Drosophila melanogaster: one gene and its partners. The gene in region 1 interacts genetically with each later gene. Each region holds a gene or a part of one and is shown in the gene's direction. Other genes may lie near its edges. The genes, in order: seq, sv and bnl.

Region 1 (5,788 bases):
GTTGTGCAATTGAGATAAAGGACAACAAAAGGGAAACTTCGAAAAGGGGACGCGTGCTTTGCTTTTCGGTCGATGCCTGTCCTCGCCGCACAGTGGGATGTCTTTAATTTTAAGTCCTTTAAGTCCTTTAAAGCCTTTAAATCATTACCACTAAAGCTTCAAAGCTTGTAACAATCGTTGCATGCTTTCTGGCAACTGCCTCATCAAAATTATAATAGCTAGTTTAATTTGTTCAATCCAAATATATGCATATCCATATAGTTTAGGTAGTTAAGTAAGGTGAAGAATACAAACGAATTACGAAAAAAAATAGGAAATGCCCTCTTTTATCCCCAATAAACATAAAAAATAAGAATTTTAATCAGTCGATTTTAAAAAGAAAGTAAATTTCTCCAACTTTTTACAAATGTAAAAATCCCACTGTGCGGCTTCGTCGCGCGTGCTTAGCGTCACAAAAGGATATAAACAGGCAACTGGCAGCAGGAACAACTACAGCAGCTACAACTACAACAAGAACAACAACAACAACGACGAGCGGCAGGAACAAGCATAGAAAAAAGCATAAATAATCTTGTAGCTGTTGTCGCAGCTGAGGCGAAGCCGAGCTCGAATTGAAATTTTGTGAGAAATTGTGCTGAAGAGAAATGCCTTGTGAAATCACACGAGGCACAGGACGAATGTGTGTGCGTGCGTGTGTGTGTTTGTAAAATGGAATATAAAATGACAGGCGGAGTGGTTTGGTGTTGGAGGGGGGCGCGGTGGGAATGTGGAAAAAGGGGACGCGCATTATGGCGGTTCTCCGTGTGTTCTTCATCGACGACGTCATCGGCAGTTGTTGTTGTTGTTGTTGTTGTTGCTGCTACTGCTGTTGGTTCCTGTTTTCGCTTTTTACCGTTCAGTCAATGACCACATTGTGTACACAACTGCACTGTTAGTATGTGTGTGTGTGAGCCATTCCTGCCGGAAGTTGAAGCCGCCGCCTGGTCATTCTCGCTGCTTGGCTGCAAGCTCTCTCTCTTTCGTCCTTTTCCGCTCGTCCTCTCTCTGTTTCTCTCTATCTCTCTCCTGCTCTCTCTCTGTGGGTTATGCCTGAGTTGCTTTGGACAAGTTTTGAGGACAGGATCCTTGGACACCCCGCCACTTTTTGTTTCTTTCGTTTCAAGTCCTGCCGAGCAGTGTGACCGTTCTTTTGTGCTCTGGTCACGCTTTGATCCTGCCGTTAGCCGCTCCCCCAAGCTCCATTTTCCCATAGGCGTCGCCGGGCTAATGACATGTTGTAAATTATACTACCACGGGGCATTCCTTTCACCGTTTCAAGCTGCTGTAATTACTCAGCCCGGTTTCCTTTTTTTGTTCCTCTCCTTCACTCCCCGTCCTGTTTTATTATTTTGCGTCGGTTTTTGTATGGGTTTTCTGCACACAGGATGCAAGAAACCTTGTTATCGAAACGCTATCACATAATTGCTCGATGCAGTTGCAGATGTGCTTATTTGTATTCGCTAAGCGCATATGCCATTAAATTGAACATTATAGGGGATTTACTAAATTATGCTTTTGCGCTTGGGGGAAATTAATGTCCTTAACAGTTGCAACAATATGACATTTTCTTATTAACGAAATTATTGAGAAATATAGTTGAGGGCGTTATGATTTAAAAGATATAATGCGATCGGCTTGGAAATTATAATTCTATTTAAATGGTACTAATTCTGCAAACGGAGTTCACAGGATCAAGCTTAAATGTGTAATACATTTAAAATGGAAAATCTATCGAAAACACTATATAAAAAGCATTAGATTGAAATTGGCTAGCATAAAAGTAAACAAACAATTATTCCAAACGAGCCATTGCTCTGAACGCTATTTGTTGGTTTTGCAATTATTATACAAATATGCAATTATTAAGTACGAGACACACGAAGCCGTCTCAAGTGAGAGAGTCCTTGCGACCCGTCTCAAGTGGATCCTCAACCTCTAGCCTCTGTATCTGTCGTTTACCTACAAACGATCACTGGCGATCCGGGATCAGTAAAGTCCTAGATTAGATCTTCGCCAAAATCCGAAATCCGTGCCAGGACAATGCATAATGAGGATTAAGTCCTTTGCGATTTCTCTGACTGCTTACTGAGATGCAGAGAAAGAGAGAGAATGTGCGAATGGATTCACGATTCGCGATGGCGAATGCATTTTTCCTTTCGCCACATTTGCTTTTCGCAATGAAACTAAAGAGGAGGAAAAAGGCATTGTTCGATCCACGAATGAATAGAGGAAAAAGGAGGAGCGATTAAAACTGCCAGTTTTCCACACGGCTTGCATTTCCCTATCCACAATTATCCTGTCAAACTTGTTTGCGCCGTCTCCCTCTTGCTCTACACCAATTTTCCTTTCGCATTATGCTTTGACCAGAGCATTCGCATTAAAAGGACAACGCTCTTGTGCGGCGCGACTGTGTGTGCGTGAGCGTGTCTGTGTTGCGTGCTTGCTGTGTGTGTGAGTGCGAGTGCGAGTGCGAGCGAAGAGCGAGTTCTTTCGACGCCTGCGTCGCCATCGTCCTGGCATCGAACTGGCGTTCAGTCGACGCTTGCCACTCAGACCGCTCAGACATGTCGCGCCCGTCGTGAGTGCCAGTTAGCCATCCACATTAATATACATATATATAAATTAACATCCTCGAAGAGAGAGAGCAGCAGCCATCAAGTCGAAGACTGTGTAAAACGCAAAACAACGACGCCATCAGATGTTGCAGGATAACATAAAATAATACCAAAGCTAAATCATTCTACAAGAATTGCAAAACCCAGAAAATAGTGCTCAAGTGTATCGTATAAAACATCAAATTGTGCAAATTAGTTACAGTTAGTTAAAACGCCAGCAGAAGTTTCATATGCAAATACACAAAAAATAATGTGCAATAAACTACAAATCACTTCAAACAAAGGCAACGCAGCAGCATCCAAAACGTTAGTCACATCCAGTTGGAGTTGCTCATATAGTCATAAAAGTACTTTTGACATTTTGTTGGGATTTACGCATGGAGAACACCGAATAAACTAGAGAAGCAGAACTAAAAAAAAAACCCATCAAAGCACATCACAAGTGAGTTCCAAATTTCGTCCTTTCACAAACACACTCACATATTCGTAAACACACATACACACATGCATACGCACTCGCTGCATTGCGACTCGCCCATGTCGAATCTCCTCTGTAGCGAGTATATCCTGCCCGCTCACTCGCTCTTCCCACCATATTTGCTCTCTCCTTGTTAACTAGCATATAGTTTTGCGCACTCGTCAGCTCCCCCCTCTCAGTTATCCCGTTACCCCTCCCCTTCCCCAACATCGTCGGCTCTCCGCTCTCGTTCGGTTTTGGTCTTCTCGCTCTCTGAAATTCTCGGGTGGTGGTACAGTTTTCTACGTGGTCGAAAAATTGCGTAAATTTTCATCTAGTGCTCTGGGATGTCTCGCACAGCGTTGTCCTCGTTATCGTTATCCTTGCTGTTCCTCTGGCCTGCAGAGCTTTCAGTCTGCTTGTACGGAAAATAGGAAAAACAAACGGAAAAACAATTGGTATTGGTATTGACTGGGAAAAAGATGTCGCCGGATTTGTGTCATTTGCTTATTGGGCGTTTTCAATCCCTATAAATGGCTTGCCGCGGGAATAACGGTTCGTCATGGGGCTCAATAATTAATTATCCCCTTCATCTTGATTTATTGTGTTTTTTTTTGGGAGGCTTATCGTATACAGAAATACACACAGAGAAATTTTTCAATCACGCATGACTTGTACTTTTGTTTTATTTTACGTTTTACACTCATCAATCATTTTATTTGGGATCTATAAAATGTAAACAAAATAGTTTTGCGAACTAGTCTTAAATAAATTTTAGTTCAATAATTTTGTATGCTAATTGTAACTATTAATTAAGTGATAGTGTGAAGACAAAGCGTCAATATTAGTAAAATTATTTTTTAAGTTATCCTAATCCTGCGGGGATCGTTTAAATATATTTCGTATGTTTACTTACATAGGAGTTTTAATTTTAATTAGTTTTTTAAATTTCGAATACCTGAATTTTACAACTTTTTGGCAAAGTTGTTTACATTTATCACAATCATCGATATATTATCAGCATAATTCAATTGTAATTTATAGCATAACTAAATCATTTAATATTTAATCGAAATAATTTTGTGGTAAGAAATGAATCGAATTTACCATTTTCAGGCAACATACATAATTTCCATATTACCGCTTATTCCTTTAACTCCCAATTTTTCAGCCGGTTGTGCATGAAATCTGATATACTTATTTAATTTACAACATTTCCTCGTAGTTAGTAAGGTTATCAAACGAACGATCATTGCACTTTTTATGGGTTCCTATGGGTTATTGCGGGTCCGGCTGGCCCATGAGGAAAACCACTCGAATGAAAGGGGCGGGGGAAACGGCAACTGCATATCCTGCCAGCCTCTATTCTCCTGCCAGTCGTCCTGCCTGCCTGCCTGCTGTTGTAGCTGCCGCGCCCATTAAAAAAAAAAAAGAAAACCTCGAAAAGTTGCAGCTGTTCCCTCAGCGCTCCTTCTCTGTTTGTTTTGTGACTGCCAGCCAGAATGCCGATCCCAAGCGATCCGATCGCTGAGCGCTTAGCGATGGGGCAGGCAGACGGGCTGATCATGAATGGCATCTGCCCGGGATTAATGGGCCGTGCACGGGAGTACGGAGTTTTAATGCTGCTTCTATCACAGTTCCAGATCGAAGCACCCTAGCTGTGAAAGAAGTGTCCGACAACAGGTCGGAATTGAAAAAAAAGAGAAAAACTGAGACGAGAATGAAAATGTCAGAGGTGCCACGCATCAAGGTCTTCCGACCCACCTGGGAGGAGTTCAAGGACTTTCCCAAGTACGTGGCCTACATGGAGTCCCAGGGTGCCCACAAAGCCGGTTTGGCCAAGGTGGTGCCTCCGCCGGAATGGGTGCCCCGTCGCAGTGGGTACGCCGATCTCGATGCTCTAAATGTCACAATTCCGGCGCCCATTTGCCAGGTGGTAACCGGCAAACAGGGATACTACCAGCAGATTAACATCCAGAAAAAGCCACTCACAGTTAAGCAGTTTAGCGAGTTGGCCAGCACCGAGCGTTACGCCACACCCAAACACTTTGACTTTGAGGATCTGGAGCGCAAATACTGGAAGAACATAACATATGTGGCGCCCATTTATGGGGCAGATGTCAGCGGAAGTATCACAGACACAGACCAGGATGTAAGTTCGTTAGGGTTAGGGTTTAGGTTTGGGCATTAGCTGATGATTCGTTGCCTTTGCCTTTGCCGTTGCAGAGCTGGAACATCAACCGGCTGGGCACAATTCTTGACTATGTCAACAAGGATTATAACATCCAGATAGACGGCGTGAACACAGCCTACTTGTACTTTGGCATGTGGAAGACGACCTTTGCATGGCACACGGAGGACATGGATCTCTATTCCATCAATTACTTACACTTTGGGGCGCCAAAGACGTGGTATGTGGTGCCGCCGGAGTGTGGTCGCAAATTGGAGAAGGTGGCCAACCAGTACTTTCCGGCCAGTTACAAGAATTGCAACGCATATTTGCGCCACAAGATGACGTTGATTTCACCACAGATTCTCAAGCAACATGACGTGCCCGTCAGTAAGGTGCGTTTATCGGTAGTAATCCTGTCCATAGTGGCCGTACTAAATCCGGCTCTTGCAGATCACGCAGGAGGCGGGCGAGATCATGATCACATTTCCGTTCGGCTATCATGCC
Region 2 (5,443 bases), on another chromosome or scaffold:
ACAAAGTAAGTAGTATAAATAAATAGTACATAACATAATATATACAGCAGTAGCATTTCCAGTACCTAGCAGCCAAAAACAACCAAAAGAAACGGCGGAAAAGCTGTCTCGGTTGGCTTGCAGACCGTGAAAAGCCACGAGCCACGATTGAAATACCGAATTTCATACCAAAACATATGAATACCGATTGTTTATATCAAAAGCTACCAGGCGAATTCTACAAAAATATTTATATACTTACATATACACACATACACACATATGAACACAAATAGTTACCCACCGTTTAGCATGCGGAATAACCAAAGAAAAGCCTTCTAAATGAAAAGCTACTAAAAAAAATTTTCGAATATTTTTTTAGAGCTTATATTGGTCAGAATTCTTCATATAAATACATACATATATAATAACATAATAATAATATTTAAGATCATTGAACTTTTGCTAGTGACTTAACACCAGTTTTGGTACTAATGCACGAATTAACCACGTAAGGAGTATATATAAGCAGAAAGGAAAATTAACAGAGGCGCGATCGAAGGGTAGGTTTTTTCCGGTTCGGTCTAACAGGTGTTTCACAAATAAAGCGCGGGCAACCGTCCAAGACATTTCCTTCGATCGCAAAAGAATTCAAGGGATGACGGTAAATGAACACCTGAATATTCTGTTGTGTACACTACATAATTCTGTAACATATTATTATACCCGTTACTCGTAGAATAAAAGATAGATTCGTTGATAAGTATGTAACAGTTAGAAGAAAGCGTTTTCGACCATGTAAAGTATATATATCTTGATCAGGATCAATAGCCGAGTCGATCTGACCCTGTCCGCTTGTTGCTTCCAGAGACAAAGACGCACGGCAACGTCACTCTTTGATTTTTCAATATATTTAACAATATTTTGACATAAATGATAAAAGTTAAATCTTATTCTGATGTCTTTTCAGTCCCCTTTAAAGAGGACAAGTGGCTAGTAATATTGACTAAGTATGTTTATAAACTAATAGATTTCATAAATGAAAAAAAACTTTGTATTTGTATTTGTTTTTTTTATACGATAGTAACACCAGTCAGCTCTAAATTTTGAAACGGTTGAGTAATCTCTCTTCTCCCTTTCGTGTAGTTTGCAACGGTAGTCGAAGATTGCTTGGCACGCGCCGTCTTCTCTTTAATAGTTTGAGTACCAGCAGCCTGCTTTAGATCGTCGTTCAGGGATGCCAATTTAACTTTTTCTTGGTTTCACTACTCTGACGAAAATGTGGATTATTTTTGTATGCATGGAAGCATAGAAACAATATATGTATGTGTATATCATAAGGTAGTGCCGACTGTACTCCTAGTACACCTATGTATATTAAACGATTTATTTACAAACGTATATTACACATTTTCAAATATGTATGTATAAATATTTGTTCGCTTGTCAACCTGTAGAATGCAGGTCACTCAATGTAACAATACGCGATCCAGACGGTTAAAAGGGGGTTGATTACTTATGTATATAAACTGACTTAGCTTCCGTTCAACAAAATGTAGTTACTTCAAATTTAATACATAGTCTTGCGTTCACTTTTCGAGAGCCTGTTGTTAAATGCCAAAAGATAACACCTTTATATGTATCTAATAATAGGAATATTAAACCGGAACCAATAAATATAGGCCTTTAGTGGAAAACAATTAGACAAATATGGGTCAGCTGGACCTTAGGAAACTTTAAGCAGTCAGGACTGTAGGGTTATGAGATTGAGGTTTGACAGATATAAAAAAGAACGATCATAATCAGGGATATACCAAACGCTTCGAAGCGCTTTCTTCTTCCTTACAACGAATTTAGAATACCCATTTCCTATACGAGTAACGGGTATAAGCACTCCAACACTCTGATCATTAAGACCAAACAGGGGAAAACAAGAATACCATCTCATCCCTTCTCATTCAGTGACTTTAACTAATTTGTTCTCTTTCCTTTTCTCTATCACTCGTTCTGTTTGAAGCGGCGATCGTATTTCAAACCCAGCTTTTGCATCCGAACAACACGCTATGTCTCCCGATTAGTCGACCGCCAGTTGAGTGCGAATGTAGCCGACCAACCGTAAAGCCGCCTTGGGCCAAGTTTTGAGAGCGACTCAAACATATAAGCCATCATAAACACACTCAAAAAAGTGGTCGGCTGAGTTTGAGCGATGTAAACTGCTTCCGTCGTCCATTGCCATTCAACAATTTAGTTTCGCTCGAGATCTCTTGGCGTACGCTTCAAGATCCACCTGGAAATCGTGTTGCTTCGTGGATTTTTAGCCAACAGGTGGTTCGCGCTGTCTTTTTTACCTTTCAAGGCTTAGATTCCTTGACTCAGTGATGTTGTTAGTGTATAAATTCGTATTTGAACGTTTTCACTACCTTAACTGAGTGACGCTAAATAACTAATAATTTATTGAAATTCTTTAAAACAATTATATGTTAACCAATCTTTATAAAACGAAAATATTCAGTGAGTAAACTAATGCATAGTTTTAAATATATTAAGGTAAAAATAATTCCTTAATCATCCAAGTTATATAACATTAAACACTTAAGGCGCTTGAGCTCGGCTTTAAATATACTCCGAATTTGAACAGCTTATATTTACCCACGCTCCTGACCTTGGAATACTTGTTTTCTTTGTTTTCCTCGACTGTCTTAACTAAAAATTCTGGCTCCCCATAGCTATTATTCGGCTGGAGTGTGTGAAAATACAATTATTTTTCCCACTTTTAATTTTGTTGAATTGAATGAAGTATGGGTTTTATTCTGCCTGAATACCAGTTGGTAATGAAAATAACAAATTGTAGAAGCTCCAATGACCTCGTAACAGGACCGCTGTGCCCGACCGTGACTTTTAACTATATACTTCCAAATTCATTTAAAATTAATTTATAAAAAAAATTTAAAATTAATTAATTTTTTATTTATTATTATTATTATCAACAAGAAAATGTGTATATCGAATTCGAGCCCTTTATTCGAATTCGAACACAACAACAAAACTACAAAACTTGTACTACTAAACTTGTACTAACTAACTACTACCTGTTACTAATAGAGTAAAAGGGTACACCAGATTCGTTGAAAAGTTGAAAGGTAGATGGAAGTGTTTCCGACCATATAAAGTATATATATTCTTGATCAGAATCAATAGCCGAATCGATCTGACCTTGTCCGTATGTCCGTGTGTCCGTCTGACAGTCTGTCCGTCCGTATGAACGTCGAGATCTCAGGAACTACAAAAGCTAGAAGGTTGAGATTAAGCATACAGATTCTAGAGACATACACGCAGCACAAGGTATTGCCACGCCAACTGTTACGCCCAAAACTGCCACGCCATTGAAATATATTTTGAAATTTGTTCATATTTGTTTCCTAAATTTCTATCGATTTGCCATGCCCACTCTTACGCGTACAAACCGTTTAGAACTGCCACGCCCACATATTTGCAAAATGATATTTTTTCATATTTTCTTTAGTTTTTGTAAATTTATATCTACATTTTCTTTTTGCAACGCCCGCTGTTACGCCTACAAGCCGCCCAAGACTGCTACGACCACATTTTTGACCAAATTTTAAATTTTTTCTCATTTTTATCATTAAAAAAATAAGAAATGCGTTAGCTGAGTAACGGGTATCTGATAGTCGCGGAAGTCGACTGTAGGATTCTCTCTTGTTTTTTAAATTAATTTTCCTCGTGAATTATAAAAGCGGTGCAAGCTTGTTTCATACCTGTGCCACGCAGGCACTATATGTATTTTGATTTTTTATTGATTTTATTTTTTTGTCATTCTAATTTTTATCGACGAACCCCAAAATGTTCTCATAAAAAAATGGCTCCAATGTTATTAAACATTGCTGCTACTAGCTGATTAATAGGTATCTGATAGTCGGGGAACTCGACTTTAGCGCTCTTTCATTTTAGGCTATTTAGGAAACAATAAATGTAGAAAGAAAGCAGATGGCCTAAACGAACACATTTATTCCCATACCCATACACGTAGCTGACTCGATCATTTAGCTATATTGACCCTTAGGGGAGTGTCAGTCCCAAAAAGGTCAATTAACAACAGGTGAATAAGTGCTAGCAACCACGTTTGCGCGGGTTAAGGCTTCATTCGGCGGGAAGAAAGTGCACCTTGCCCTGGATAACAAGAGCGGATAGTGAAATAGTGAAATATATGTGTGCCATTGAAAGGTACGAATCACAAGAAAGATTGCTATAGTCAAGTTGGCCGACTATTAGATACCCGTTACGCAGCTAGTGGAAATGCCAAAGAGAAAATTTCATAAATTTTGGCTAAGCGATAAATATTGTGGAATAAAATTACTAAAAATTAAAAAAATGCTTATAAGTCTAAGCTCTTTGTTATAATAAAATTAATAAAATTATGAAAAAATATCCAAAAATTCTTCAAAAATGTAATCGAGGCAATTTTGTTTGTGGGCGTGGCAACAGGGGGGTATGTCTCTAGAATCTGTATGCTGAATCTCAACCTTCTAGCTTTTATAGTTCCTGAGATCTCGACGTTCATAGGGACAGACTGGCAAGGCCAGATCGGCTCGGCTATTGATCCTGATCAAGAATATATACACTATATATAGTCGGAGACGCTTCCTTCTGTCTGTTACACACTTTTCACAAAATCTTGTATACCCTTTCACTCTACGAGTAACGGGTATAAAAATATCATAATTTGGTCTGTTACTCGTAGAGTAAAATTAGTTGAAAAGTATGTAACAGGCAGAACGGATCGTTTCCTACCGTATGAAATACATACATTCTTGATCAGGATCAACAATCTGGCCATGGTCTGAACGCAGTGATCTAGGTAACTCTAATAGAAAGAAACGATTAAGATTAACAAGCAAATTTTAGAGCCACCTTCGCTGTATGATTTTTTTCCCAGCACTCACACTAGCTGAGTAACGAGTTTTTGATAGTCGAGGAAATCAACTTTAAAATTTCTAGTTATTCATAAATATGCCAAATCGGGATATACCATTTATATAAAAATACATTAATTTAGTTCATAGTTTCGCGTTTTCCATCATAAAATGCTCTTATTTGAATGTATCACTTTAAAACTTTCTTTATATATAGCTCGGTTGATTTAGTTCATTTATTAAAGCCATTACGTGTTGATTCGTTGAAAAGCAGAAGTGTTTTCGATCTTATAAAATATATATTCATAACTGTCTAGACGAGTCGATCTACAGATTCTAGTTGTAGTCATACGGCAAGATTATTTTAGATAATGAAGGCGTCCGCCACCCAACGCCTATAAACTTTCAGAAGCGTTATGACACATTAAAAAAAGAAAATTATTTTTTGTCATTTTACTAGTTGTGTTACCAAACATTTTGACTACGCCCACTCTATCACCCACAAACCGCGACGATAAGTGAAATATCTGATA
Region 3 (5,660 bases), on another chromosome or scaffold:
TCTGCGCATAATTAATCATTTTAATTGTCTGACTCCTTGCTAAAGGACAAGGGGAAACCAAGGGACAATGTGGAAAGTGCAAAGGGCAGATCGACATTCCAAAGGTTGCCCTCGAAAACTGCGGGGGAGTTCTCGCTGTTGTTGGTTATTTATTGGAATAGGCACATTTGGCATGTGCTTCCCCGCGTTTCACCAGGCGTCAAATTCTCGGGCACAAAATGTTTTCATTCCGGTTAATTGAGTTAATTGAGTTTTGAGGCAACCCTTTTTCTGTGGCCTGGCGAAATCACTTAGGCCACTTACGAGCAAGCATTTAGAAATACATTTGAAAACTAAATTAAACACAGGGTCTAAGTAAATTTGCTTATTTCGAAGTATGCAACTTTAGCATGGCTTTACTCGCGCTTCAAGTGATATATTTAAACTCAATATTCTAAATTCAAACTGTTTAAAATTTACAATTTGGACAGATCTACATAGGTACTATTTCTAAACAAGCAAAAGCGCAGTCCACAAAATTCTTAATATGTTTCATAAATCATTTCTACACAACATAATCTAACAAATATTTTCAAAAAATTGTAAGTACCAAACACGATAGATGACACGATAAACAATATTTTATGGCTTTAATAAACAACATTGCCTTCTCAAAACTGCTACTTTATAGCAGTTATATAGTCTTAGCGACAATGTAAAACTTTGCCAATCAGTAGCAAGCCCGCACTTTCCACCGGCAACACCCACCCACTGAATGACGCTGTCATCAAGAATGACGTAGGCGACTACCCCGGAATATTTCTGCAATTTCTGTAGTGTCAAGTTGAAGTTCATTCATACACACATATGGGTATCTGCACCATGTGATTTTTTATAAGCGCCTTCTAAATAGATAAGATAAACTTGTATTCAACGAAATTCGCGCATAGCTGCCTTAACTTTTAAATTTGCCGTGTGACAGTATTTTTGGGGCTAAATTTTGGTCAACATCTAAAATTAGCAAAAATTTCGGTTGGTCAGAAATAGGTTTTGTGGTTTATTGCAGCCACAGGCAAATGAGTTGGTCAAAGTTCAAACCTTATCAGTGCGAATACAACGATGCGATTAGCACCTATCGTGAGTTGGCTTTCCCACGCGACTGATTCACTGGCAATGTTTAGCCGAATAATAAAGGGTACTGGGTGACGCTTGTTGTTGCACTTTGTGTTGTTAGTTAATTGGTATTTGTGCAAGTCCACGCTACCTGGCGAAATACGTCAAAAGCACTGGAAAAGGTCTACGCGCCAAAAAGCACAACCGCCACCAAACGCAATCCAATCAAAAACAAAAAGCAACTGCAATCTCTCCCTTTCACAATGTCTGTTTGAAAACCGTCACGTGATTTGTCGCCGTCGACTTAGGGGGCTCATTATAGTGACAGAACTCTAACAAAAATTAGTAGACTACTGTATTTTATATATATATATATATATATTTTTTTTTTTATATATAGAACATTTTAGTTGAGCTTTATGTTCGAAAGTTGTTTTTCTAGTGACAGATAACACCTTGTAGCCTACATTGTGGCCCAAAAAATTTCAGAATTTTCGGTTAGATAGTTACCATGTAACCGTTTAAGATATTTAGAGTAAGAAAAAGTAGGCTTCATAAATGATTAAGATGACTACAGTTAACCACCCCAAACACTAACAGAATTTGTTTGTTTTACTTAAAATCCAAAAATAATTTTCTAAATACAACAAATAAGTACACAAAAAATAAAAAAAAATTGATTCATATTTTGCATTTAATGTTTGAGTACAATGTTGAGCTAGTAACACAGTAGTTTTTAACCACTCATTAAAATTTATAATTTATTCAGCTACAAAGTATAAATTAGCAACGAACGAAATACAAATCTTTTATAACGGTGTTTTTGATTCTGACGCTAATGTATGATGAATCAACGAGTTGGCAGCGTTTCAATCACTTGAGCCGCAGTTTCGTCAGATCGGAAGGATGAATTGGGAATAACAGATAAACCCCATATCACACCTAGGGAACCGACCGACCACCATTCACTACAGCTGACCACCGACCACCATTCTTGGCGTTTACCTTACTCGCCCACTACTTGCTCTCACTCTCTCCGTCTCCCTCCCGCCGAACCGCACCGCATCGCACTCTCTCTCTCGTGCTCGTTCCGTCGCAAACGTGCTCGGCGTGAACGCACGAAGCGTCGCCTCATCGACAGGGTCTTTTTGCTCATGGCTTCAGTCTCTGACTAGCACGCTTGGGGAACACACAGTGAGCGGAGCGTCCGCAGTCGCAGTAGCACTCGAAGTCCGCTTATCCGCATCCGCAGCGTTTTCGAATTTTTCAGACCTACCATTCGATCCGATCCGATCCATCTGGCACATCCTAACCATCTCTAATCGTAACCCCATCATCGTGATCGCGTCCGTAATCGCTCCGTTTTAACGTACTCGATGTTCCGGTTTTGTGTGCAATCGTTTTCAAAGGAGATCGAAACAATAATCTCGGCGGATAGGAAATTTGAAACACGAATGTTCGTTTCGCAATCCAAGAGAGTCGTTACAATTTGAAAAGCCCGCAATAAAAAAAAAAAATCGTTTAGATGCGAGCAATTCGAAGATCGGAAAATATATAAAAAAATAAATATATATATATGATTTGTGCTGTGTTTGAAAAAGGAATATAAGAAAAAAATTATGAAAATGTTGAATTGTTGTTGCCGTAAGTTTTAAAGTGTGCAAAGTGCAACTCTCTGAAAATCAACGAAGAATACAACGCGTCCAAAAAAAGAATCGTAAAACTGAAAAAAAAGCAAACAAACATAAAACCTAGGTGCGTAATTTTCTGTTTCAACGCTGTTACATAAGTTCTTTTTTTTAATAAGTTTGTTGTTCCTCCAAGTATTTGTTCGAATGTTGCAAAATATTTCATTGGATTTCGGTCTTTGGAGCTTAGCAAAAGCAAGCCTAAAATTATTGAAAGTTTCAAGTTTGCCGAACGGAAAAAATATATGTTTTTCTGTATTATTAGATTTGATGTTTTGAAATACTAAAATTTATAAAGAGTTTCAGTGTTCTTTGGTCGCGCAATGTTGGGCATTTAAATAAAATATTTTGAATACGTTGAAATGTGGCAATTTGTTTGGTAACTTTCAAAATAAATTTAAAACATTTTCCACTTGGCAGCGGGCCGAGTAATAAGTGTATTTAAATGACCCACGAGGGAAAGTAATTAAATAGCAATATGTATAAAAACGAAATAAATTGATTTCAACAAACAAATAGCAAGCTAAAGCAAATGGGCAAAAACTTAATTTATATTAGTGGCATGCTAATTGAAATAATTTAGTTCATATTTGATTTGATTGATCAATACCTGTGCAGAATGATATTCACTTAAAACGTAATCTGATTGCATTTAGGTATAAGCGAATTAAATTTGATTTGCAGCCTAGTTTTTCCAAGTACTTTTCCGCGTTTATCTGCCCCAAATAAACAATTGGTAAAGCAAACAAAATGTAGCAAAATGTTTTTTTTTGCCAACCGGTGAAAGCAAACGACCTTAGGAGAACCCACTCTATGAAAGCGAAATTCATATAAATTTAAGCACACGATCTTTGGGATTATTTATAGTTTTTTTTTTTGCAAAACGCATATACATTTGCGAATCTTTATCGCCGTCTTGAAATGTATCTGTATCTGCGTATATGCGAATTGTGCGTATCTCTATTTGCAAACGCACGCAGGCGCTTTTAATCTCATTTCGCTAACTTTTTCGCAATAAACTTTTTTTCTGCTCACTCTGCGCGTGCACTTTTTGTCCTATAAATTGGCGGCGCTGACTATTATCTAACATTTGTGCGCTATTATCTAAGCTGGCTTGTTGTTCTTGTTCTTCCTGCGGATGATTTGCGCTGCGTATCTGTATCTGTATTTTGTATCTGTGTGCGAATTTGCGTTATTGCCGCACGCTAGTATGCGTCGGGTTCAACAACTGCTAATCACATGCCGGATCACAGTTTGGACAGCCGAGCGACAGACAAAGTGCGAAATATGGGGATCGCGATAAAGAATAAACTGAATGAATTTCGGCTGTGTGGACTAGCGGGTGATATCCTTCAAAATTAATGGCAGCGAAGAGTGCTTAACTCAAATCAGGGTCATTATTTGTAGAAGCTATTAACTATTTGGTATTTTCAGATTTTTTCTGGTCATTTTTCAAACTTATCTGGGGTCTAGGGAAAATATTAAAATTTTGGTTTATTACCTTTTACTTTCCTTTCATAACTTTTTTATTGGTTTACAATTGTTCCAGCAATAAGGGCTATTAGTTAGTATTATAATCAAGTTAATCTTTTTTGCTAACTTACATAAGCCATAATAAATCTTATCTTCTAATTCTAATTGTATAACTTATTAATAACCAAAAATAAGCGATAAAGATTCATACATTAATTATACATAATTGAATTGTGCCTCTTCAAATGCCGATCAAATTTTATTTCCTTTGCCGTTAAAGTTCTCACGTCACAATTTCATCAACTAAAAAATGAATATCCCCCAAGGGCAAAGAAAATAATTGGCTAATTGTTTAGTACCGCTTACGAAACGGTTTCTGGCTACGTCAACGATTGAATAATTGAAAAGACCACCGTAAATTTAGACATTAAGACATCAGTTTATGCAGAAAAACCAATTGAAGTGATTAAATTGCATGGGCAGTCCCGAATTAATTGAAAAGTAAATTTATATTTTGGTAGTAAAAGAGTTGCGCGTGGAATTTATATTTCCCCGGAGACTGTCGTGCATGCCTTCGGACTTCAGATGTCATAAAGCCAGCCAATTATCAGGTTTAGTTCTGAAACGCACGAGTTGGGTAACTTTTCGCTTGGGCCTGTGACACATTTACAAATTGTGCCTGATTGATGGGGCAGCAAGCCCAGTGGAGCCAAAGTTTGAAATACAACGATCATAATTCGTAGATAGATAAAGCTTATCGCATGCAAAAGAAAAAAGTTTTATGGCCGTGCGTAAATAGTTTTGCGGTTTGTTTTTCTTTTTGCCCAAAAGTGGCGCATAACACTCGGAATATAAAGTCAACCGAAGTCGGCGAAAGAAGGCGGAAAATGCGGGAAACTCAGTAAAAATGTAGCGTTTGTTTTAATTAAGCGTGAACACTAGACCACATAATGTGCGGCATACATTTAGAGACGCACACACACGATCGCACATGGCAACAGCTTTAGGTACACCGCTCAGTTAAAAAGCGAGCAACAAAAAGGCAAAATGAAAACGAGAAAATCGTCGCGTATTTTACTCAGGTTGTTGTTATTCTTGTTGTTTCTCTTTTTTTTTTGACGGTTTTCCTTCTTTTTTTACACATATATATATATTTTTTTTTTGGTTGTTTGACGCATTTTAAAAATATCCTAGACGCAATTGTTGTTTTGTTGGCTGTCTGTTTGTCACATTACTAATACGTCGCGTTGTCTTTGATTTCGTCGTTTTCGGTTGGTTTTATTTTAAAACGACGGTTTTCCTTTTAATTTTCGCACGTAAAGTGCGTGACTTTTAATTAGACTACAATAAATGTGCGAAATTGTGTGGGAGATGAGTCTGCCAGTGGGCAGTGTGTTGGTGAAGGCA

Evidence for each region.
Region 2: of seq (region 1) and sv, changing one suppresses a phenotype caused by changing the other (phenotypic suppression), as found in Drosophila melanogaster (one study listed by BioGRID).
Region 3: of seq (region 1) and bnl, changing one suppresses a phenotype caused by changing the other (phenotypic suppression), as found in Drosophila melanogaster (one study listed by BioGRID).

What each region holds. Positions count from the first base shown.
Region 1 is NT_033778.4:13,186,869-13,192,656, reverse strand, and holds the start of seq (sequoia), read left to right. Parts: upstream 1-2,570; 5' UTR 2,571-3,096; intron 3,097-3,403; exon of another isoform or gene 3,404-3,569; intron 3,570-4,748; exon of another isoform or gene 4,749-4,831; coding exon of another isoform or gene 4,832-5,263; intron 5,264-5,337; coding exon of another isoform or gene 5,338-5,676; intron 5,677-5,734; coding exon of another isoform or gene 5,735-5,788. Other genes in the region: Kdm4B (lysine demethylase 4B), read left to right, coding at 4,832-5,263, 5,338-5,676, 5,735-5,788.
Region 2 is NC_004353.4:1,086,573-1,092,015, forward strand, and holds the start of sv (shaven), read left to right. Parts: upstream 1-2,225; 5' UTR 2,226-2,490; intron 2,491-5,443.
Region 3 is NT_033777.3:19,833,449-19,839,108, reverse strand, and holds the start of bnl (branchless), read left to right. Parts: upstream 1-2,291; 5' UTR 2,292-2,847; intron 2,848-5,660.